3 linked regions of the Rattus norvegicus genome follow. The protein of the gene in region 1 interacts with the protein of each later gene in a pairwise test. Links are inferred from orthologs where the notes say so. Each region holds a gene or a part of one and is shown in the gene's direction. Other genes may lie near its edges.

The links. The genes of interacting proteins can lie anywhere in the genome.
Region 2: the proteins of Calcoco1 (region 1) and Dusp13b interact in binary tests that used the Homo sapiens proteins (3 or more experiments, as listed by UniProt). The two-hybrid records come from large-scale screens. The link is inferred for Rattus norvegicus from reciprocal best matches to the Homo sapiens genes CALCOCO1 and DUSP13B.
Region 3: the proteins of Calcoco1 (region 1) and Cep19 interact in binary tests that used the Homo sapiens proteins (3 or more experiments, as listed by UniProt). The two-hybrid records come from large-scale screens. The link is inferred for Rattus norvegicus from reciprocal best matches to the Homo sapiens genes CALCOCO1 and CEP19.

The regions. Positions count from the first base shown.
Region 1 is NC_086025.1:135,711,091-135,718,448, reverse strand, and holds the end of Calcoco1 (calcium-binding and coiled-coil domain-containing protein 1), read left to right. Parts: intron 1-568; coding exon 569-724; intron 725-897; coding exon 898-1,152; intron 1,153-1,508; coding exon 1,509-1,634; intron 1,635-1,985; coding exon 1,986-2,081; intron 2,082-2,399; coding exon 2,400-2,508; intron 2,509-2,666; coding exon 2,667-2,866; intron 2,867-3,250; coding exon 3,251-3,357; intron 3,358-3,547; coding exon of another isoform or gene 3,548-3,619; intron 3,620-4,280; coding exon 4,281-4,458; 3' UTR 4,459-5,241; downstream 5,242-7,358. UniProt on the Homo sapiens protein: Functions as a coactivator for aryl hydrocarbon and nuclear receptors (NR). Recruited to promoters through its contact with the N-terminal basic helix-loop-helix-Per-Arnt-Sim (PAS) domain of transcription factors or coactivators, such as NCOA2.
Region 2 is NC_086033.1:2,619,369-2,626,702, forward strand, and holds the end of Dusp13b (testis and skeletal muscle-specific dual specificity phosphatase), read left to right. Parts: intron 1-324; exon of another isoform or gene 325-3,056; intron 3,057-3,139; coding exon 3,140-3,360; intron 3,361-4,418; exon of another isoform or gene 4,419-4,610; coding exon 4,611-4,813; 3' UTR 4,814-5,066; downstream 5,067-7,334. UniProt on the Homo sapiens protein: Dual specificity phosphatase that dephosphorylates MAPK8/JNK and MAPK14/p38, but not MAPK1/ERK2, in vitro. Exhibits intrinsic phosphatase activity towards both phospho-seryl/threonyl and -tyrosyl residues, with similar specific activities in vitro.
Region 3 is NC_086029.1:82,183,933-82,192,011, reverse strand, and holds part of Cep19 (centrosomal protein of 19 kDa), read left to right. Parts: 5' UTR 1-257; exon of another isoform or gene 258-271; intron 272-4,063; 5' UTR 4,064-4,141; intron 4,142-4,972; 5' UTR 4,973-5,000; coding exon 5,001-5,166; intron 5,167-8,018; coding exon 8,019-8,079. UniProt on the Homo sapiens protein: Required for ciliation. Recruits the RABL2B GTPase to the ciliary base to initiate ciliation.

The DNA.
Region 1 (7,358 bases):
GGCAGTAATAGAAAAGAGAAGATAGCTGTGACCAGGGTGGAGAATGGAAAAGCTGTTGCTTTTTTCTATGAACTGCGGAGGAGAAAAGACAGCCAAGAATAGCACCCAAGTGTGAACTGAGAAGTTCTGTCAGTACAGGAGACATGAATGACAAAAGTCTCAGGAAAGGCTAGGCACGGTGGTGTGCACCTGTGATCTCAGCATTAGGGACAGCAGCAGGTGGAGAACTGCACGGCTAAAGCCAGTCTGGACTAGCTACATAGTACAACCCTACTGCAGGGGAGGGAACAGAGAGACAGAGCCTTGGGAGAGGAGAAGAGAGGAGGTGAGTGGTGCAATAGTCTCAGCTTTAGGGGCCATCCAGACTGTTTTGACTTAGAGGAAAAGTAACTGGGAAAGCAGAGTTGCCTTAATTTACGACCCCAGGCTGGGAGGCAGGACAGAAGTGAGCGCTTCCACTTGTGCTGAATCTAAGAAACAGCCCTCTAGACACCTGGCTGAACAGCAGCCGGCCCCTGGCTGTCCCAACACTCACCCCTGATCTCCACCTGCTTTCTATTTCCTTCAGGCTGAGTTACAAACGGTGCGAGAGGAGAACTGCCACTTAAATACAGAGCTGCAGGAGGCCAAGGGCCGGCAAGAAGAGCAAGGTGCTCAGGTCCAGCGACTGAAGGACAAGGTGGCCCACATGAAGGACACCCTGGGCCAAACCCAGCAGAAAGTGGTGAGTGAAGGCCTGTAGGTGGTAGGAAGCTGTGAGAGTTCCAAGTAATCTAGATGAATTTGGGAATGTAGAGAAGAAGCAAAGTTGGCTAAAGTGAGCAGCACGACCCTGATGAGGGCTCCTTGGCTCACATGCGGTTGCCTGAGGGGTCTGATTGTCTGTCTTCTTTGGAGGCCGAGCTGGAGCCTCTGAAAGAGCAGCTCCGAGGGGTCCAGGAACTTGCAGCCTCAAGCCAACAGAAAGCGGCCCTTCTTGGGGAGGAGTTGGCCAGTGCAGCAGGAGCTAGAGACCGAACCATAGCTGAGCTACACCGCAGCCGACTGGAGGTGGCTGAAGTCAATGGCCGACTGGCTGAGCTCAGCCTGCACATGAAGGAGGAAAAATGCCAATGGAGCAAGGAGCGGACAGGGCTGCTGCAGAGCATGGAGGTAGAGGTGACCCTCCCTGTCTGGGATTCCGAACTGTAAGTTGGTGCTCTGGGAGGAGAGAAGAGTGGGTGAGATCCTAGGGACTTAAGGAGAGGTGCACACTTTGCTTTCCAGGCATGAACCGGCCCCAACAAGTCCCGGTTCTGATCACCAACATCCCTAGTTACCATCCTTGGTATAGGGACACGTGCTGTCATGGTAGTGATCCCCACTCTCAAGCGGCTCGGAAGTGAGGGAATTGGTCAGAAACAAGTTGGTCCCCCAGACATAAAAGAAAGATCCAGTGAGGGTGATGCTGTTTTCATGGCTCCCTTGCCACTTCGCCTCCTCCCTCCCATCTCCCCTCACATCTCTAGGCTGAGAAGGATAAGATCCTGAAGCTAAGTGCAGAGATCCTCCGACTGGAGAAGACAGTGCAGGAGGAGAGGAGCCAGAGCCACATGTTCAAGACCGAGCTGGCCCGAGAAAAGGATTCTAGCCTGGTGAGGCACCTACCTGCTTGGGTTTAGACCCATGTCCTGATGTACTAGTGCCCACTGCCTCTCGACTCTGAGTACTGTGTGCTGACTGCCTACTTCACAGCTCTGTGGATTTGAACGTGCACCTCTGGGCCTGGCGGGATGAGACACCAGAGTACAGGGTGGCTTTCTGTATTGCAGAGCCTCTTCACCCCAGCATAAGGTAGTTAGCTAGGGCCACATTTGAGAGATAGAGGTTAGGACTTTGGCCTGAGGCCCTGGGGCCAAGACAAGGGCCTTGTGGAAGAAACATTGGGTATGGAGCAAGAAAGGACATAGCTGCAGGCTCCAGGTTCCATTACCTTTTTCCCTCAGGTGCAGTTATCAGAGAGTAAGCGGGAGCTCACAGAGCTGCGGTCAGCCCTCCGAGTACTTCAGAAGGAGAAGGAGCAGTTGCAGACAGAGAAACAGGTGAGAGTCACCTGTTGCCATAGGTGCGACCCTGGATGCCAAAGCTTGGGGGCTCAAAATTCTGTATCATCTTGGTAAAATCTTGGATCAGAGACCAGTGTCTTTTTGAGGACACAAAGGCTGAAAGAGGGCCCTGACCCTTCTTAGAAACTGACTTTGTGCAGGGGAGGAGCACCAGAAGGGAACGAGGCACAGGGTAGAGGAGAGAGAACTACCCGTCAGGGGCCAGCCTCGTAGGACTCCACCAAGTGAAGGCCCAGCAAGCAGCAAGGCTGGTGTCTGCAGACTTCAGGACCTGCTTGTTCTACCCAACTGCAGGAGCTGCTGGAGTACATGAGGAAACTGGAGGCCCGCCTGGAAAAGGTGGCAGATGAGAAGTGGAACGAAGACGCTGCCACAGAGGATGAGGAAGCCACTGCTGGGCTGAGTCTGTGCCCCCAGTCTTGGGGCAGCTCTTCCCTCCCCCTCTCTGATGCTCTTTGAAGCTGACCCTTCCCGTTCCCTGGGCCCTCTGTAGCTGGAACGGTCGGTCTCCTCAGATTCCCATGGCTGATCTTCCTTCTCTATCTGTCTTCCCTCTCATAGGCTGCCCTGCAGCTCTGACAGACTCGGAGGATGAGTCCCCAGAAGACATGAGGCTCCCCTCCTACGGCTTGTGTGAGCGTGGAAACACAAGCTCCTCTCCTCCTGGACCTCGGGAGTCTTCTTCTCTTGTTGTTATCAACCAGCCAGCACCCATTGCTCCCCAGCTCTCAGGGCCAGGGGAGGCCAGCAGCTCAGACTCAGTGAGTACTGAGAGCCCATGTGGAAGTAGTAAGCAGTGGTAGGGTCACACTTGAACCACGGAGAAAGCCTGTACCACATAGCACATACTCTGGGCTGGAGGAGGCAGGCCTAGCTAGGTGTGATTCAGGCCTTCAGACTCACGCTCAGACTACACAGTGAAATCTTGTCTCACCTAAAACCCAGGCCAGTGCAATAGCCCAGATGCTCCCAGCCCCCGTCCTGTCCCCCTCTCCCTGCCCTACCTCACCGTCCCTGGGAAAGCTCTGTTCTGCTTCTCTCTTCCTGCCACTCTGCTGCCCGGGACCAGCCTTAGCTCCTCCACCCTTACCTTCTACTTCCCCACCTCAGACCCATCTCAGTCCTCCCCATCTCTTCCTTCTCAGGAGGCTGAAGATGAGAAGTCAGTCTTGATGGCAGCTGTGCAGAGTGGTGGTGAGGAAGCCAACCTTCTGCTTCCTGAGCTCGGCAGTACCTTCTATGATGTGGCCAGGTGAGGGCAGCACAAAGAGGGGAGGAGGGCAGTACCCAAGCAGCCACCTTGCCTTGCTCCCAAGTCCCCCTTCTTGGCTCAGCCAAGAGAAGGTACCAGTGTGTTGACAGGAATGTTGGCTACCTCCACAAACCCCAGGTGGCTTCATGTTCTCTCTCCCTGCCTTTGACTGGCTTCTGTGTTGTTCTAGCTTCATCTTCCGTGGAGCCCAAATTGCCCTGCTTCCCCTCTCTCCTGCCCCTTCCCCCTCCCCAACCACCAGGTAGGTACCTAGGTCTTCAGGGAGGAAGAAGGTGACCAAAGCCTCAGGGATGGAGACTGAGAGAGACGCCACCCAGAGCATCTGTCTGGCTGTGCTAAAGATGTTGCCCTCCCTGACTTCCTGGGAAACTCTGGGAGGAGAACCTGAAGTGTGGGCAGGCACCAGGTGGTGCGTGGCTCTTTAGTCCTAGTCAGCCAGCCAGGCAGAGCCTCAGAGAAAGGAGCATCTTCACCTGGCCCCCACCTCTGCCTGGAGTGAGTGGGCCAGGGGCAGAAAGGGCCAATGCTGTCGTCTCTCTGCTAGAGCAGGAAAATGAAGAGCAATGTCAGACTCGTTTTCAGCCTCATTAGGCAGCAGACGGAGACAGAGGGAGGAGAGCGGAGACTGGGGGATGGGTTCCATACCATAGACACCAGCAGGGATGCGGCTTGTGAAGAGAGGACACGGGCATCTGGAGCAGAAGAATACCATAGGCCAGGCTTGAACAGAGAATGACCAGGATGGCACATTAGACACAGGAACCACATGGGTCTCATTCCCTGAGGTCCCTAGGTCAAGGACACTGCAGAAGCTGGGCACTGTGGTGAGACCCTCTATTAGAAATAAGAATAAAGGCAGCAGAGAACCCTGACCCTGTCTGTCTTTCCTCACCTCTTTTTAGTGGCTTTGCAGTGAGTTCTCTGTCAGAGGCCAGCACTGGGGTCCCAGCCATCCCTGCCTGGAAGGAGTGTCCTATCTGTAAGGAGCGCTTCCCTGCTGAGAGTGACAAGGATGCCCTGGAGGACCACATGGATGGACATTTCTTTTTCAGCACCCAGGACCCTTTCACCTTTGAGTGATCTCACCCTTCCCTCGTATGTAGACACACGTACACACAGACAGTTATGCAGTTTGGTCTCATACCTTTTTTTTTAATCACACCAGGCTTTATAACGTTCTGTTTCTACAGACCATGCCTGCATCCCGCTTTCATCCCAAGCCTTACAACTCTGTCTCCATCCTGATCTCTTTGTTCCAGGCAGCAATCTGTCTTGGAAACCCAGTGACTGAGTTTACTCTCTGAAAAATAGTTCAGAGGAGCCGGGATGGAGATGGCTTTTCCCTTGTGGGAGTAGAATTATTTACTGATAGCTCAAGTGTGTATACACACACACATACACACACCACTCCTTCTGATGCCCCAAAGCCAACTCCTGGGGTACCCTCCCCTCTCTTGTTCAGACTTTGTTTATTATTCAAGTTTTCTCTGGGGCCTGCATGGAGGCAGCAGCATGGGCTTCATGACCTCATCAGGTCTTTCCTGATGAGGAAAGACCTACCCTGGTTCTTTCTGACTCCCAACTCCAGTCTTTCCCACAACCTTAGGCCATAAGTTTGAAAGATTCTTTTGTATTTTTAAGGGTTCCTATACCATCTCCTGCCACCCCACACCGAAGTCCTCAAGCAGAAAAGAAAATGTATTTGTGCCTTCTGTGAGGGATAGGGGGACAAGGGATCCCAGGTGTCCCCATTTCCCAGCCCCTCACCCTCTCCAGGCCCCCACAGCAATAAGAACTTCCTCTCTCCCTTAAACTCCCCTCTTATTTGTAGTTTGGACAAATATATTTATATGATATGTGTAACTGTTGTCATGACATTTTCTTATCAAGAGGCATTGCTACAGAAAAGAAGGGCTTCAAATTCCTAGTCCCATTGGGAGGGAGGGGGCAAGGGAGGGAGGGGGTAATAGGTAGGTACCAGGCCTCTGGTGTGCCAGCCACCTGAGGCCACAGCTGGCCTGGAGCACACTTTTAAGGAAGGAGCAGACTGCTGGTGGGATGGGAAGGGACATGCAGGGACCATCAGCTTCCATGGCCCTCCTTGCTCCACCCTACTCCCACCAAGAGCACATACCTTTGGGTTCTGCCAAGTGAGGTGTGCTCTAAGCTCCCTACTACCCTTGTTTATATCCCGCACAGCCCCATACACTCCTGACTCTACAGTCAGAGCAACACAGCCATCTGTCCCAACCAGTTGTCTGGGTGACATAGACATCCACAGCAGCATAGAGCATATATTAAGGACCTGTGTGCTCACCAATGCTCTGTGCCCTGGCAGGCGTACACCTATAGCTCTCATTCTCTGTCCCAAAACACCCTCCTCAGCACCTTGCAACCCTTCAGATTCACTACTGGACCACCCCCACAATCCCTGTCTTCACCTGAAACTAACCCATCCACCACCACCCCTTCCTACTGCACCTGGATGACATCTTACATCCCTCCTCCTTCCCTCACGTCTGTCTCCTAGCAACCCCATCTCATTCCCTGAATCCTTTCCAAGGAAATTGGAGATAATGGATCTCTCTCCTCTCTCCATCTCAACCTCTCTTTATTGATCCTCCTTTAATGAAAGTTAATTATAACAATGATTTAATTAATAGAATCCCTCTCTTCCTTTATTGCTTCCCGTATTAAGACTATTAATAAATACGAGCTGGGCTGACAGAGGCATCCATCACCCGCCCAGGGCTCCCCCCATCCCTCCTTTTCCCCTCCCCTCTCCCCCTCCCTCTCTTGGCCTATAAACTTGCCGGGGTAGTGGGGGTTAATCAGAGAGGAATTATGAGCCAACATCCCCAGCAGGAGGTGCATTTAATGAAATCACTTGTGATTTATGACTGGGGGAGGTTGGGAGGGAAGAATCTGGGACCGATACTTTCTGGCTTCCTGGAGGTTCGTTCCCCCTAGAGCAAAGGGAGAAACAGGGATTCCAGGGCAAGGCACCTGCTCCCTCAGCCCTCCATCTCACACAAAAGCCACATTGCCAACCAAACCAGGCCATTGGTACTTAGAGGCTCTGGTGAGGACCACACTGTGGGCTTTGTTCCTCCTCTCCCAGGCATGGGCCCTTCTCAACCTTTGCCATCTCCTCAGCTTCGTCCTGATTCACCCTCCCACAGCAGGTCCAAGCATCTTCCTCCAAGAAGCAACCCCTCCTCCACCCCCTAACTTGACACCAAGCTCTTCCACGGCTCCGGCTCCGTTTTAATTTGGATCCATGTGTCTCTTCCTGTGCCCTGTATGTGTGTTCACACTGGGACTTCTGCAGGTGCTTGGAGCAGGGAGGGGGACGGCTGGCCTTCAGATCCAGTTCTGAGCCTACATATTGTGTGGTGTTTGGAACTCACCCTGTCACATCTCCGTTCTGAAATGGATGTGTCCTTATCTTCGCTTTGTGGTATCTGTGCAGAAGCTGAGAGAACCGAAGGTCCTGGAGTGAAAGGCAGAGTCAGGTGAAGTGGCAGCCAACACTCCTGTCAGTATTTGTCCTCAAACGATGAGCCCAGTCCCCACTGAGTACCTTGTGGCTGCCCCCCTATCTACAGGAACTTGAAGTGTGGATGGCCTGGGGTGCCAGGGCAGGGTCTTCTTCACTAGCTGTTCCCAGTGTGCTTTTCCACCTCCCATCCTGCCCTGGAAAACCTAGTGCTACAGTAGAACAGAACCATTTACCAGAAGCGTGCAGTTTTCGAGCGACTCTGAGCAGCTGCTTTTCTATCCACCCAAAGGGTGCTTTCAAACCCACCTGAATTCTCAGGGTGCTGAACAAGGAGATAGAGCATGTATGGCATTTTCATAAACGCTCACTCTGCCAGCTGCACATGCCTGGAACCCCAGTAGCTGGGAAATAGACAATTTCAAATCCTGTTTCAAAAGGCCAAGGGCTGGTTAGGTGTGATGACATTTGCGAGGTCCAG
Region 2 (7,334 bases), on another chromosome or scaffold:
ATGCTATGTTCTCTGGGCTGTGTTACATCATTTAATATGACTGCCATGTGCGCCCAACTCAAAAGCAGCCTTAATTTTTATTTCAGGTCTTACCCTGAATACTACAGATGTGCCTTTTGTCAGCCTTCTAAAGTAAGAGCAAAGTATTTAAATTTTATCTTATGTGGCTAGAGGAATAGCTCAGCAGTTAAGAGCACATACTGCATGGCAGCTTACAACTGCCTGTAACTTCAGTTCCAGGGAATCCAACACCCCCTTTGGCTTGGCTTCCATAGGCTCCTGAATGTACACGGTGCCCCACAAACTCACACAGGAGTACACATATACACATAAATTAAAACAAAAAATCTTTTGGGGATTGGGGAATGTGGCTATGTTCGTAAGGCGTTTGCCTAGCAAGCACAAAGTCATGTGTTCAATCCCCAGCATGACATAAAAACTGAGAATGATGGCACACACATGTAAAAGGAGGATCTGTGCACGATGTCTGCAGCTGCATAGGGAGTTCTAGGCCAGCATCGGCTCCATGAGATCCTGTCCCAAACCCAAACCCAAACCTTTTCTTTGTGTGTGTGTATGCACTCATATGTTCTTGTGTCTGCAAACACAGGTGCATACATGTTACAGTGCATGTGTGGAGGTGAGAGAACATGTCTACTGCCTTACTGTCCTGCTGTACATGCCAGGTATCTGGGAATTTTCCCGTCTCTACCAGCCATCTCATTGCAGGAGCAGTGGTAGAGACAGCACTCACTTCTGCATCTGCCGATTATGTGGGTGCTCAGAATTTGAGCTCAGGTCCCCACACTTGTGTGGCAAACAGATGATCTTGTGTGTACTTCATGGGCTGCCTCGGTGGCTTAAAGTTGTGCGACACAAGGCATTGTGTAGCTGTGGCTTAATTTTAGTATTATATGATATTCTACTGTGTGACTATTTCATAAATTCTCCATTGGCGCTGATCCCATTTTTAACTATTATAGTGGTCCTAGGAGTGGTTACTAAGGTATGCTGGGAAATTTTACAAATATAGGGTACTGGAGAGATGGCTCAGAGGTTTAGTGAGCACTAGCTGTTCTTTCAGGAGACTGGGATTCCCAGCACCCACACGGCAGCTCACAACTGTTTGTAACTCCAATTCTGGAGGATCCAATACCCTCACACAGACAAACATGTAGACAAAACGCCCCTGAACATAAATACATCTTTTTTAAAAAGAAAATATAGACTAAATATATAGAAAAATTATAATTTTTCCCTTTGTATTTAGAATTCACTGGGCTAGGGAGAGCCCTGGCTGCTCCTCCGAGGTCCAGAGTTCAGGTCCCAGCATCCACATGGCTTCTCCAACCGTCTGTAACTGCAGTCCCGTGAGATCCAAAGCCATCTTCTGATGTGCAGATATACATGCAGACAAAACACCCATCTACATACGTAAACGGACTCTAGAATAATTAAAACAGATGAATATCTAGTTAACAATATTCCTCTTTTTCCCAGAGATGAAAATCCTTGTAGACTTTTAAAAAGTGCCTGTGTGCTTTTTCACAGTGCTATTTTTGGTAAAGCTGCCATCACTTTGTAATACCGTTTTGAGATGAGCTTTATATAGAAGGAAAGCTTTTTTTAAATTAATCACACTACATATTCAAAAATTCTTATAACATTCTGTTTTGTATCCTGTATCTTCACAGGTTCTTGATAAAACGTAAACACCCTTCCTTGTTTACCTGCATTCACCACACTTTAGTGATTTGCGGTATTTCATGATTTAGATACACAGGAACTTGTTTTGCCTGAGGGGTTTGTCCCATGTTCCCCTGTGATATCTAAACTAAAAACGGTGCCAAAAGCTCATAACATATGCTGCAGTTTTCCCTATGAATGCCTACCTTTGAGAGGTTTAATTTGTAAGTTAGATTAAGTAACACTAATAATAACAAAATGGAGTAATTACTATATTAAGCGAGGGCTAATAGAACACAGGCCTGCCTGTGATACCGTGTTAGTCAATTTCATAACCGAGATAGCCAGTAATTAGCAGGTAATATCGCATATGCCGTGTGTATACACCGGCTAAAAGGGGGATGCTTGTCCTTGTTCTAGTGTGCTTTCTGTCACTACGATAAAACATTGACCAAAACCAACTTGGGGAGGAATTACAGTTGATCATCAAGAGAAGCCAAGGCAGGGGCTTGAAGCAGAAACCATGAAGGAATGCTACCTCCTGACTTGCTTCCTCTGGCTTGCTTAGCAACAGTTCTTAACACAGCCTAGACCCACCTGCTAGGGGATGGTACTGCCCACAGGGGGCTCCATGCTCCCATGTCAATTAATAACTAAAACGTCCCAGAAACATGTCCATAGCCAGTCCTATGGTGGCGATTTCTCAATTAAGGTTTTCTCTACATAGACCTGTAAAATTGACCACGACTGCTAGCTATGACAGCCTCAGGCACAACACAGCAGGACAGTACAAAATTTGAAATCTATTAGTTGTTTACCAATAGAATTTAAAAAAAAATATTTGGGAGGCATAGTCGACTGTGGGTAAAAAGTAAAACCATGGATGAAAAAGGATTACCGTACTATACTTAATAAGTTTTTGTTTCCGTCAGAAAATGTTTCTTTCCCTAATATTTCGGTTTCAAATAGTATTAAATCTGGCTTATATAACACCTTTCAGCACATTTAGAATTCCTCCCTTTAATCTGTTCCTAGAAGAAGGTGTTTACACAGCGCATGGATGCCTTTCTAAGGTTTTTGATGCATGTAGCTAAATCCATCCGGGAAGTTCCCTAGGGGAAAGGTTCAGAGTGGCAGTTCTCACACTGTGGGTCACGACCCCTCTGACAATCCTGAGTCTCCAAAAACATCCACACTGAAGTACGCAGCAGTAGAAAAATTACAGCAATGAAGTCGCAATGAAAACAGTTCCACGGTTGGGGGTCAGCGTAGCATGAGGAACTGTATTAAAGGGTTGTGGCACATAGAAGCGTGAGCACTGTTTTGGAGGATTGCCCTCACCGGGGCGGTTCACCGTTCAGTCTCCACGCCTGCAGGAGAACAGAGGAGAGGGGTAAGTTCCGACCCAGTGAGCCCCACCCCACCCCTTAACTTCCCGTGTACCCTCCCTCAGGTATGCTGCCAGAGACAAGAGCCGTCTAATCCAGCTGGGCATTACCCATGTCGTAAATGTTGCTGCGGGCAAGTTTCAGGTGGACACAGGCGCCAAGTTTTACCGTGGAACACCCGTGGAGTACTATGGCATTGAGGCCGATGATAACCCCTTCTTTGACCTCAGTGTCTACTTTCTGCCTGTTGCTCGTTACATCAGAGATGCCCTCAATACTCCCCGAAGTAAGCTGCTGGGGAAGAGGTTGGGTTAGGGTCAGGGTGGGTAGGGAGCCCACAGCACCAGCTCTGTCAGAGGCCCTCCCGCAGTAGGATCAGATGGTTATTGCCACTTAATGAGTACATGGTGGAAGCCAGTGACTTCAGATATAACTAAGATTCAGCATGGGGTTGCAGAGGCGGCTCCGTTGGGAAAGTACATGCTGTGCAAGCATGGGGATCTGTGTTCGATCCCTGGAACCCACATGGACAAGGCAGGGATAGTAGTGTGTGCTCATAATTCCAGCATCAGATAGATGAATAGAGAGATTCTGAGGCTCATTGGCAGGCAGCCTGGACAGTATGTCCAGACCTGTGAGAGACCCCATCTTAAAAAATGAAAGTGGACAGCACCCAAGGAACAACACTCAGAGCTGACTTCTGGCCTTCATATATGCATGTGTGTACATGCATGCACACCTATACTCTCATGCGTACCATTACATCAACACACACACACATGTGCACACACTTTCTCACACACATACACACACTCACACATATGTACACACTCTCTCACACACACATGTACACATACTCATACACACACACTCATACACACACACTCACACACATGTGCACACACTTTCTCACACACATACACACACTCACACATATGTACACACACTCTCTCACACACTCACACACACATGTGTACACACTCATACACACACACTCACACACATGTATACACACTCTCACACACGCTCACACACATGCACACACACACCCTCATAGACACTCACATGCACACACACACTCTCTCACACACACTCACATGCACACACATGCACATGCACACACACGCTCACACACACGCTTACATGCACGCACGCACACACACATGCAAACACACACACACTCTCATACCATCCATTTTGATCCCCAGAATAACCATACTCTTTAGAAAGAAGCCAGATACTAGGCAGAAATCACCAAGACCTTGCAAAGACTCATGGGTAAGCACCCCAGAGGGAAGACGTAAGTGCAAATCCAAGAGGTCATGGAAGTTTGGTGACCCTCACCTAGAGTTGCAATGGCTACCAGAGAAAGCCCTTCTACACCAGGAGAGGGAGCCCTGCTGCTCTTTAGCCTTATACTAAGTCGTTGTGTGATCTTGAGCTTCCATTGTCCCTGAAGGGATGGCCAGAGATGTCCCTTCTTCCCAAAGGTGAGATGGGAACAGGTCACCAATGCTAGCTTGGGTCTTCCTACAGGCCGAGTGCTGGTCCACTGCGCCATGGGGGTAAGCCGCTCTGCTACAATTGTCCTGGCCTTCCTCATGATCTTCGAGAATATGACACTGGTAGACGCCATCCAGACGGTGCAGGCCCACCGAGATATCTGTCCCAACTCAGGCTTCCTCCGACAGCTCCAGGTTCTGGACAATAGGCTGAGGCGGGAAACAGGGAGACTCTGAATTAGGGAGCACTTGAAGCCCTGACTCCTCCATCCAGCGTGGCCTAACCTGACTTACCTGGCCCTGGGAATGGCAGCCTTGGCTGTTTCCAGAGTCCCTGAGATGGCACCAGCAAGTCAGGGCTCCGCTGAAGCAGAGGCAGGGTGGGCTGGGTGGCAGCCCTCAACAAGTGGAGTCCCCTGACACAGCAGAGAAATTCTTTATGCAGAAGAAATTTCAGACTGTCTCTATAATAAAAGGTTCATCATAATAACAGTGGTTTGTAGACAATGGCTTTACTCTCACGAGGGCCACAGTCCTAGGGTAGCCTGCCAGCTCTGACTCAGTAGTCTGGTGGAAGAAGTAGCCTGTTGATACCACAAGGCCAACTGAGGAGACCGTGCAGGTGGGGTTCAAAAGGAGGTTTGCTCCAGTGCTGCGGACCAGGCGACTAAGTCCTCATCTTGTCTCTTTTGTACCCTCACCCAATGCTAAGGTTGTCTGTTTAAAAAAAAAAAATTCCAGTGGCTGGAGAGATGGCTCAGTGGTTAAGAGCCCTGGCTGCTCTCCCAGAAGTCCTGAGTTCAATTCCCAGCAACCACATGGTGGCTCATAAACATCTATAATGAGATCTGCTGCCCTCTTCTGGCCTGCAGGTGTCCACGCAGCTAGAGCACTTCTACACATAAGATAAATAAATCTTAAAAAAAAAAAAAGTTCCAAGTGTCACATCCTCTCTGGGCCACAATCAAAACTCACCATTGGGATCCAGTGAGAGTGTAAGCCCTGGCAACCCGAGCACCATCTTCTACCTTATAAACATGAAGAGAAAGAATGGGGGCCGGGAAGGTATCTCTCATGCCAGGGCACACATACACACCCTGACACATCATGCCTATACACAGTAATAATAAAATCAAGCTTATTTTTAAAAGTAAATTAAGGTCAAGTGAGAGACAGCTGGACAGGTAAAGGTATTTGCTACCAAACACAACGACCCGAGTTCAATCCCTGGGACCCATGCGGTAGAAAGAAAGAACCAAATCCCACAAATTATTCTCTCATCTCCACACACTTACTATGACATGGATATACCCGTCTCCCCTCCCCCAAAAAACCCCATAAAGAAGTGTTATAACAAAAAAGAACAGTCTTAAAAGTTAATTTGAAAACTGACTGTTGGAGCTAGGGGTGTAGGGCAGGGGTGAAGCGCTGGCCTAGCATATGTAAACCTCTGGGTGTGATTCACGGCATTATAAACAAAACAGCAAGGAGCAGTACCTATGGGCCTAGCATTGAGGCTGGAGGACTGAGTACATTCAAGGAAGGCCAGGCTAGACTACATAGTAAATTACAGGCCTGGGACTAGGGACGTCCTCAATTGGTAGAGTTGTTTCCCTAGGGCACACGGGGCTCTAGGCTTGATCCTCAGTGTCTTAGGGTTTCTATTGCTATGAAGAGACACCATGACCATGGCCACTCTTACACAGAAAAACATTCAGTTGGGGCTGGCTTACCGTTTAAGCAGTTTAGTCCACCATCGTCACGGCGGGAAACATGGTGGCATACAGGCAGACACAATGCCAGAGAGGAAACCGAGTGTTCTACATCTGGATCACCAGGTTGTAGGGAGAGAGAGTGACACAGGGCCTGGCTTGAGCATCCCAAATCTCAAAGCCCACCTCCACAGTGACACACTTCCTCCAACAAAGCCACACTCACTCCAACAGGGTCACACCTCCTAGTAATGCCACTCCCTGTGAGCCTATGGGGGTCATTTTGATTCAAACCACCTCACCCAGAATGATATAAACCTGGGTGCCCGTGTGCCACAACCCTCAGGAGGTAGAGGCAGAAAGATCAGTTCGAAGTCATCCCTAGGACATAGTGAGTTTGAGGCTAGCCTGGGCTACAGGAGAAAAGGATGAAGAAAACAATACAGAAAGTTTCCCTTGGGTTCCTCACTGGCAAACAGCATGACCTGCTCATGGTTTTTAGGGTGAAATGGTTTGCTTTCCCCACTTTTCTCTGGTCCCATTTTTCTCCTGCTTCCTCAGATTTTTTCTACTGACCCTAGAATATGAAGGTCTCTCTGGGTTTTGTCGTCTTGCGTCTTATCTCCCAGATGCTCCTACTTTTCTGGGTGAGCCTTGGCTCTCCCAGCCTCAGTCTTCTCTCCTGTGCTCCAAACCTGGGTATTCCACTAGCCACCTTCATTAGTGTATTAGGCCTTCAGCCTCAGCTGAACTTTTCATAATCCTGTACCCCACCCCCAGACTCTCTCTTCTAGCTTGTTCCCTACTTTACAGCAGAGTTTCCCACCACCGTTCTTGTGCCAACAATAGCTATTTTTATTGATTTTTTTTCTTACCACTATTGCAAGATATCTGATAGAAGCCACTTAAAGAAAGACATCACTATTTTGGTTCTCAGTTTCTGAGGAAATTCAAAGTTGCTCAATCTTTGGTGGCAGGAGTTTAAGGCTGCTTACATTGTGGCTGACCAGGAATCAGAGAACTCAGTGTGCTTGATTGAATGAGAA
Region 3 (8,079 bases), on another chromosome or scaffold:
GGCGGGCCCTGGACCCGACGAGCTGCTTTAGGACCGCATTCGCCGCGCTCAGCCCCGCTTCCTGTCCTCAACCGGATGCGTGCGGGCCGGGCCCCCTGCCGCTGAATTCACCCCATGGTTACTCCTGTAGGCTATGGCTGTCGCCGCTTCCTGCAGGGTCAGGCTCCACCTCGCCTCAAAGTCGATCTAAGTGCTCCTCTGTGCAAGGCGATAGGATGGAAACCATCCCCTCACTGCTGTTCAGATTTTCACGTCCTGTACGTCTTCAAGGGTAAGAAGGGCCGCGGAGGGTAGGAAGGGTCTCCTTGCATTGGTAAGCGCATGAATCGGAAACTCTGTATCCCCTTAGGTGCTCTAGGGAGCACAGTACTTGATCCCTGGTAGAAAAAGTATATTAGATAAAAGTACATTTGTTAAATATGATGTCATTCCTCCCGACTGCGGAATGTGTTAGCAGGCTTAGAGAGTGCTATACTACAGATCAGAAGGCTCGGAGTTCTCAAAAGTAGGAAGATAGTGTAATATAACACTACAAACAGGCTATTAAGAAATATGGACGAAACAAACAAACAAAAAGCCGGGTAATCTTAGCACTGGAGAAGCAGAGGCAGTCAGATCTCCGCGTTTGAGGCCAGCCTGGTCTATAGAGTGAGACCATGACAGGACAGCCAGAGCTACACAGAGAAATCCTGTCTTGAAATACCAACAACAACAATAAATTAAAAAGAAAACTCCATAGTCAAGACCTTAACATTATAATCGACTCTATTCACAAATGTGGCCATTTGCTTGTGTTTGTAGACCAGAGAGTGTCTAGAAGGTTCTAGAAAGTTTACTAACATCACACTTTAGTGAGGTGATCTGGGAATAGTGAGTGGTCATTGACTCAGATCAAAGGCAAACCACAGCAATATGAAAAGGAGCTCTTTATTATGACTAACCTGAGTAAAAATCTCATATCTATCACTAGGGGTGAAAATACAGATGATGACCCTATATGATAAGTCTACCTAGCAACCGTAAAATTTTCATTTTAATAAGGAAACCATATGTGTGATATAAAACTAAACCGTAGTTTTTATATTTATGCATATATGTATGTACACATATATATAGCTAGAAAAAAAGAAGCTAGATGAATATTCATTTTCTCTTTCCCATTTTCCCCTATTTTTCTATAACGAACTAATATAATGTTAGTTTCTTTTTTTTTTTTCGGAGCTGGGGACAGAACCCAGGGCCTTGCTCTACCACTGAGCTAAATCCCCAACCCCATAATGTTAGTTTCTTAAACAGTGCACCTAGACTTGTCCTCCTACCAGAACTAAGTTTATAAAGATATTATTACCTTATGCTACCTTACCTCTGTTGCTGTAAAATTATTAAAAATGCCTTAATTTATCCCACACTAGGTCCAGCACCTTAGTGCCCCAAGATATCTTGTAGATATCTTCCTCTCACCCGCTTTGCTCAATCCCATATCACACTGCTGATGGCTTCTCTCTGAGCCTGACAACAGTCTCTCTACCCATCTAGTTCCCAAGGCAGGTTGCCACCATGCCAGAAATACACGTCTCCAGTCACCACATATACTCTTGAACTTAAAACATGAAAGAACACACAACACAATAACCTCCGATACAATTGATAATATATAATTTGCTCACCTAGACATACAAAAAGCCCTGTACACATCCATCCCTTAAGAATATTCATAACAGGGGGCTAGAGAGATGGCTCACAGGTTAAGAGCACTGACTGCTCTTCCAGAGGTCCTGAGTTCAATTCCCAGCAACCACATGGTGGCTCACAACCGTCTGTAATGGAGATCTGATGCCCTCTTCTGGTGTGCCTGAAGACAGCTACAGTGTACTCACATACATGAAATAAATAAATAAATCTTTTTAAAAAAAAAAAGATTATTCATAACAACCTGTAAATGTGCAGAGAGGAATCTTAACATCAGCCTCCATGTTCTCTCTGCTGCTTCTCCTGCCTCCTCCAGTCTCCTCCTCTCTCTAAAACTTTTCTCCCGCCCATCCTTCCTTCTCGTCCAATGACAGGCCTCGTTCTATCTTGTACCTGCCTTCACCTGTATGACATCAATCCAGTTTCAACATTTGCAAACCATAGCCACTATGCAAGTGTAAGAATCTAAGTCATTCTTAAAGTTGAGTGTACTACTTTGCCACTGAGGGTAGAGAAGGAAAGAGAGAGCAGAAAGTATTAATCTGAAAATATCTGCGTTTCTTATACCTGGAAAAGTACCATAGTCAGACAAATGAGCTGTAGTAAAGGCCACATACACATTACTGTTTTGCATATGGAGAGGCTGATTATCTACACACCACCCCTACCCCCTTTTTTTTCTTGAGACGTAAGGGAACAAACAGAGTTCTCAAACAGCTGTCCTGGAACTCAGGGCAGTCCTGCTGTTTTGGCCTTCTGCGTTCTGGGATTACAGAACTCAGACACTATGCCTGTTCAGATCCGCCATTTTAACTGTGATTGATATTTCGGTTGTCACCTGTCAGCTGGCTGGGGTCATGTTGCTCTAACTGGATAGAAATCAGTAGGAGAAGTTCCCAGGCCCTTGAGTGTCCAAGGCCTGGACTAGCAGACTAGATGATTGCAATTCCAAACACTGAGAGGTCGGGACTTAGGGCTCCTGATTTAGAAGCTAGTGACGCATGGCTCTGGGTGCTCAGGTTGGATGCTGTTGGCATTCATTTGGCAAGCATTTGCCAGCCACTGTAATGCTCAGCGCCCAGCGGCTGTGAGTGAGAGCAGCAGTCATCTGCTGGACTTACAGATCCTGGAGGGGGGCCTTGACTGTTGAGACACTGTTGGTATCAGGAATTGCCTTTACCTCCAACAGCTGCAACGGTTGGTCACTGTTGCTATGGCAACAGCCATACATTCCCAGAAGACCTTTTGGCTCAATTCCCACCTCGACCTGGGAATAGTTACATCACATTCCAAATAAAAAGCAGACTTCCTTTGCCTTCCTTCTCTTTTCTTTTCTTTCTCTTGCCCCTTCCCCTAGTCTCATTCTTCATAAATCTCTCCTTGTGGAACCGTATTGGTTTGGTGTGCTCTATCTGGATGGGTACAGGCCGATATTTAACAACAACAAGATTTTAATAACAACAGACACTTCATTCCTACAATGACTAGTATTACCGCTTAAGGCCAGGAAGCCTCCTGAAACTCTTCAGCACCTAGTTCTCATAGCTTCCTCTGCCTCTACTCCAGTGTTTCCACTTCAGTTATTTGCTTCCTCTCTGGAAGCCTTCCTGGGGCTTCAACTGTTACTAGTTGGAAGCTGCTACCAGTGTGCCAGTTCTAACCTTGTCTTCCTTGTGCCGATAGCTCAGTCTGGTCTGCTAATACTAACAGTCAAAGGCAGGAGGGAAAAGGCCACTCGCAGAGCCTTTCAAATGAGCCTAATGTTATAGCATGTAACGCTGGGAGCAGCACAATGAGGGTGTATCCAGGTGACTTCAGAAGTGAGCTGCCAGGTGGACAGAGGCCAGAATATTTGCAGCAATCACAACACATCCCTTCATGCATCACAGACCTGCCGCGGAGCCAACATGATGAGTGCCCCTCTGCCTAATGCTCATTGAGGCTTCCGCTCAGCCCGGGCTTTCTGAGACCTGTGCAGACTGGTGGAGTGCTCCTGATGACTGTCTTCAGCTATGCTTCTGTAGTATCCTCAGAGAAACAGGAAGGAAGGAAGGAAGGAAGGAAGGAAGGAAGGAAGGAAGGAAAGAAAGAAAGAAGGAAGGAAGGAAGGAACCAGAGTCTGGCTATTAAGAGTAAAGGGCTGACAGTTCCACCCCAGGCTGCTAGGTTTAAGAGAAGGACCTGTGAAAATGTTGGCCTACATGGTCTTAGAGAAGCCTCAACACAAACTAACAATTCCTGTAACAGTACTTCATATTATATAACAATGTGTACCAGCATTTGACTCCTGCCCCAATGCCCCAGGATAATATATAGTAACTTTGCTTGTATTAATACACAGCACTGAACAAGTATTACCTTTATTATGTTCCAGACATGTACTAAGAGCTTAATGAAAATGGACACACTTCCTGCCTTCCTAGAGCAAATAGAATAACAGGGAGGATACATGGTAAGTAAAAATGATGAATAAAAGAATGGTGGGGGTAGGCAGTGGTGGTGCACACCTTTAATCCCAGTACTCAGGAAGCAGAGGCAGGCAGATCTCTGAGTTCAGGCCAACCTAGTCTGCAGAGTTCCAGGAATAGGCAGAGAAACCCTATCTTGAAAAAAAAAAAGAAAGAAAAGGAAAGAAAGAATGAATTGGATGAATTTGGAAAGCACAAGGCAATTACATCTGGTCTAGTGGACTTCTCAGTACAAAATGTTTATAAAGCGGAAAGTGCTGGGGACGTAGCATAGCTAAAAGAATGCTTGCCTACTCTGCATAAATCCCTGGGTTCCGTCTTGAGCAGCCCATAAACCAAGTTTAATAGCACATGCTGTGATTCTAACACTGGGAAGCAGAGACAGGAGGATCAGAAATTCATGGTAATCCTCCACTTCATAACAAATTCAAAGCCAATCTGGGCTACACGAGACAGTGTCTCGAAAAAGGAAAAAGTTTAAAAGAACGTATACATAGAGGGTGACTCAGAAGTCCTTTAACTGAAACATCAAAGTGATTCCGAAGGCCAGCAGGTCAGTTCTTGGGCCCCTGGGAGGTTTGTGTGTAATCTCTGGTACGAGTGCAGCACACTAAGGGGTCCAGACAGAATGGCATTACCTACTCAGAGATCCGACGAGCTGAGGCTAGCCTGGACCAGACTAAACTTTCAGGGTATCCCTCAAAGTCTGGAACTTTGTGAGCATACAATCACGGGGCTAGTCCACAGCCAGATCCACCGAGGAGATGGGGAAGGATTTATTCAACACCTAGCTCGATGTGGTTGACCTCTCTTAGGAAATTGTTGCACAGCTGTCCTATCTGTATGAGATCTCCAGTTTACCCTGAGTTACACGAGACGATGAAATACATTGCCAAGAAGTGTGGAGTTAGGTTCCAGCCTCCGGCCATGATCTTGATTTATGAGAATGAAGCTGAAGGAAAGAGCCGCCAGCGCATCATGCCTGTCCGAAACTTTTCGAAGTTCTCAGGTACGCCTCGTTTTATCTCGCTTCCTGCCTAGCTGTCAGCTTATTTTATTCATGTGTCTGTGTCCACGTGAGTTGGTGTCTACAGAGACCAGAAGAGGGCATCAGATTCCCTGCAGCTAGAGTTGCAAGCCTAATCGTTGCTGAAGTTGGGAACCCTGCAAGCACCCCTAACCACTGAACCAGCTCTTCAGCCCTTACCTCCTGTCTTAAATATTCTTTTTTTTTTTTTTTTTTTTATTAACTTGAGTATTTCTTATATACATTTCGAGTGTTATTCCCTTTCCCGGTTTCCAGGCAAACATCTCCCTCCCCCCTCCCCTTCTTTATGGGTGTTCCCCTCCCCATCCTCCCCCCTTGTCGCCCTCCCCCCAACAATCTAGTTCACTGGGGCTTCAGTCTTAGCAGGACCCAGGGCTTCCCCTTCCACTGGTGCTCTTACTAGGATATTCATTGCTACCTATGAGGTCAGAGTCCAGGGTCAGTCCATGTATAGTCTTTAGGTAGTGGCTTAGTCCCTGGAAGCTCTGGTTGGTTGGCATTGTTGTACATATGGGGTCTCAAGCCCCTTCAAGCTCTTCCAGTTCTTTCTCTGATTCCTTCAACGGGGGTCCTATTCTCAATTCAGTGGTTTGCTGCTGGCATACGCCTCTGTGTTTGCTGTGGCTGTGTCTTAAATATTCTTAAGTCGTTTAATAAAAATAACCCGACATCATCAGGTATGGTGACACACACCTATAACCCAAGCAGGAAAGTTGCTAATGCAAAATATCTGGACAACTTGAGGTAGCCTGTCTCAAAATGAGAGCAGAAAACAAAAGGGATGGGTTGGGGAGGGGTTGAAAGTCAGTGGTGGAACCCTGACCTACTGTGTGCAAGGTCCTGGGTCAGTCCTACTGAGAGGGAAAAGGAAGGGGAGGGGGAGGGAGAGAAAGAGGGAAGGAGAGAAGGGAGAGAGGGAAAGGAAGAGGGAGGGAGGGAGGGAGGGAGGGAGGGAGGGAGGGAGGGAGGATATTTCAGTTCCTTGCGATGGAATGACAGGCTCCTCAGAGTTCAACAACCCTGGGTTTAGATCGTCAGAGACCCGCCTGTGATCATTGTGAGATCACTTATTCATCCACTTCAGTTTCTGTGTTGGTATTTTTAGGTCAACCTGACACAAGCTTGGAATCATTTAGGAAGGGGGAATGCCAAGTGAGAAAATGCCCCCAACAGATTGATCTGTAGCAGACCTGTGGTCCGTTTTCTTGATTGATTACTGATGTAGGAGGGCCTAGCCCACTGAGGGTGGGGCCACTCTGGGCTGATGGTCCTGTTTAGTATAAGAAAACAGGCTGAGCAAGCGGTGGTGAGCAAGCCTGTAAGCCCATGGCCTCTGCATCAGCTCCTGCCTCCAGGATCATGCCCCCCCCCCCCTTTTGTTTTTGGTAGGAGGGGTAGCTTTAGTCCCAGCACTCAGAAGGCAGGTGAATCTCTGTGAGTTTAAGATCAAACCTGGTCTTACATAGTGAGCTCTAACCCAGCAGAGGCTACATAGTCTAAAACAAATAAAAAATCATGCCATTTTTTACCTTTAGACATTTTCTTCAGTTGAAAGTTTTTAACAACTCTACAAAGTAATTTTAAGTTTACAAAGTAAAAAATAAATAAATAAATAAAAGAAACAGTTCATCCTTCTCTCTCCACACCAAAGTTAAGTTTGTTTGTTTGTTTATTTAAAATGTTTTATTTGGGGGCTTGCTGTTCTTTCAGAAGACCTGGGTTCAGTTCCCAGCACCCACATTGCAGCTCCCAGCCATCTTCTAACTCCAGTTCCGGGAGATCTAGCGCCCTCTACTGGTCTCTGCCAGCACCACACATAAGGTACACACTAACACATTCAGGCAAACACTCAGCATATACAGTCGAAATAAAGAAATTCTTTTTAAAAATTATGTTATTTTTTGGTATTTCTTTGAGACAAGATCTCTCTGCTTCACCTTGGATGGCCAAGAACTCATGAGTATCCTGCTTCAGCCTCCTAATGCTGGGATGAGAAACAATTATAAACCTATAGCACCATACCCACCCTGTTGTAATTTTTGCTTTGAAGGCAGGACCTAGTTAAATAGTCCAGGCTAGCCTCAAACATTCTGTCCTTCCAACTCTTCATATGTGTGCTGTATGACCAACTTCTCCTAGGTTGAAACAACATAGTTAGGTGTGTTTATCTCAGATAGTGAACCCATGACCAAAGTGTGAATACCATTGAAGTTCAATTTAATGAACCCACAAGCTTTACTGAGGTCACTTACAGGAATATGGGTGAGGGGTTACTCACAGGAGCAGAAATGACTCAGAGACAGCTGCATCACCAAGGCCTATGCCAGCATAGGTGACAGCTCACAAAGCTGGGAACACTGCTCAGCCTGCAGGCATCTCAGAGGGTGGAGAGTGCCTCTTGTTTCTGTTAGGCTGTTTGGCAGGTCTCTAGAGTCTTGTGTGTAAATTAAGCTCCTTTGAGAGTGACCCTTAGCTGTCTTTGTTTATCCTCCAGAAGGGAGGAACCTAGTGAATTTGGTCAGTTTTAGGGATTTCCTGTGTTACTTTGAATTGTTTACTCTTGTCTGAAGGAACTTCCCTGTAAGGTGGGATGTTTTAATGTGGAAGGCTGCCATGTAACAGCATGTGTAACTGAGAAGTGTTAAAACTCAATTGATTATAAAAAACAGTTCTAAAGCATAATTGATTTAATAAACCCCTCTAGCCAGTTGTCTACCTCGGAGCAAGTGATCTCAGGGTTCGGTCTGTGTTCGTCCACGCAGTAGTTTGTAATGGGTGTGCTGTGTGCTGTAATATACTCTTCTCCCTCCCAGATTGCACCAGAGCTGCTGAACAATTAAAGAATAACCCACGGCACAAGAGTTACCTGGAACA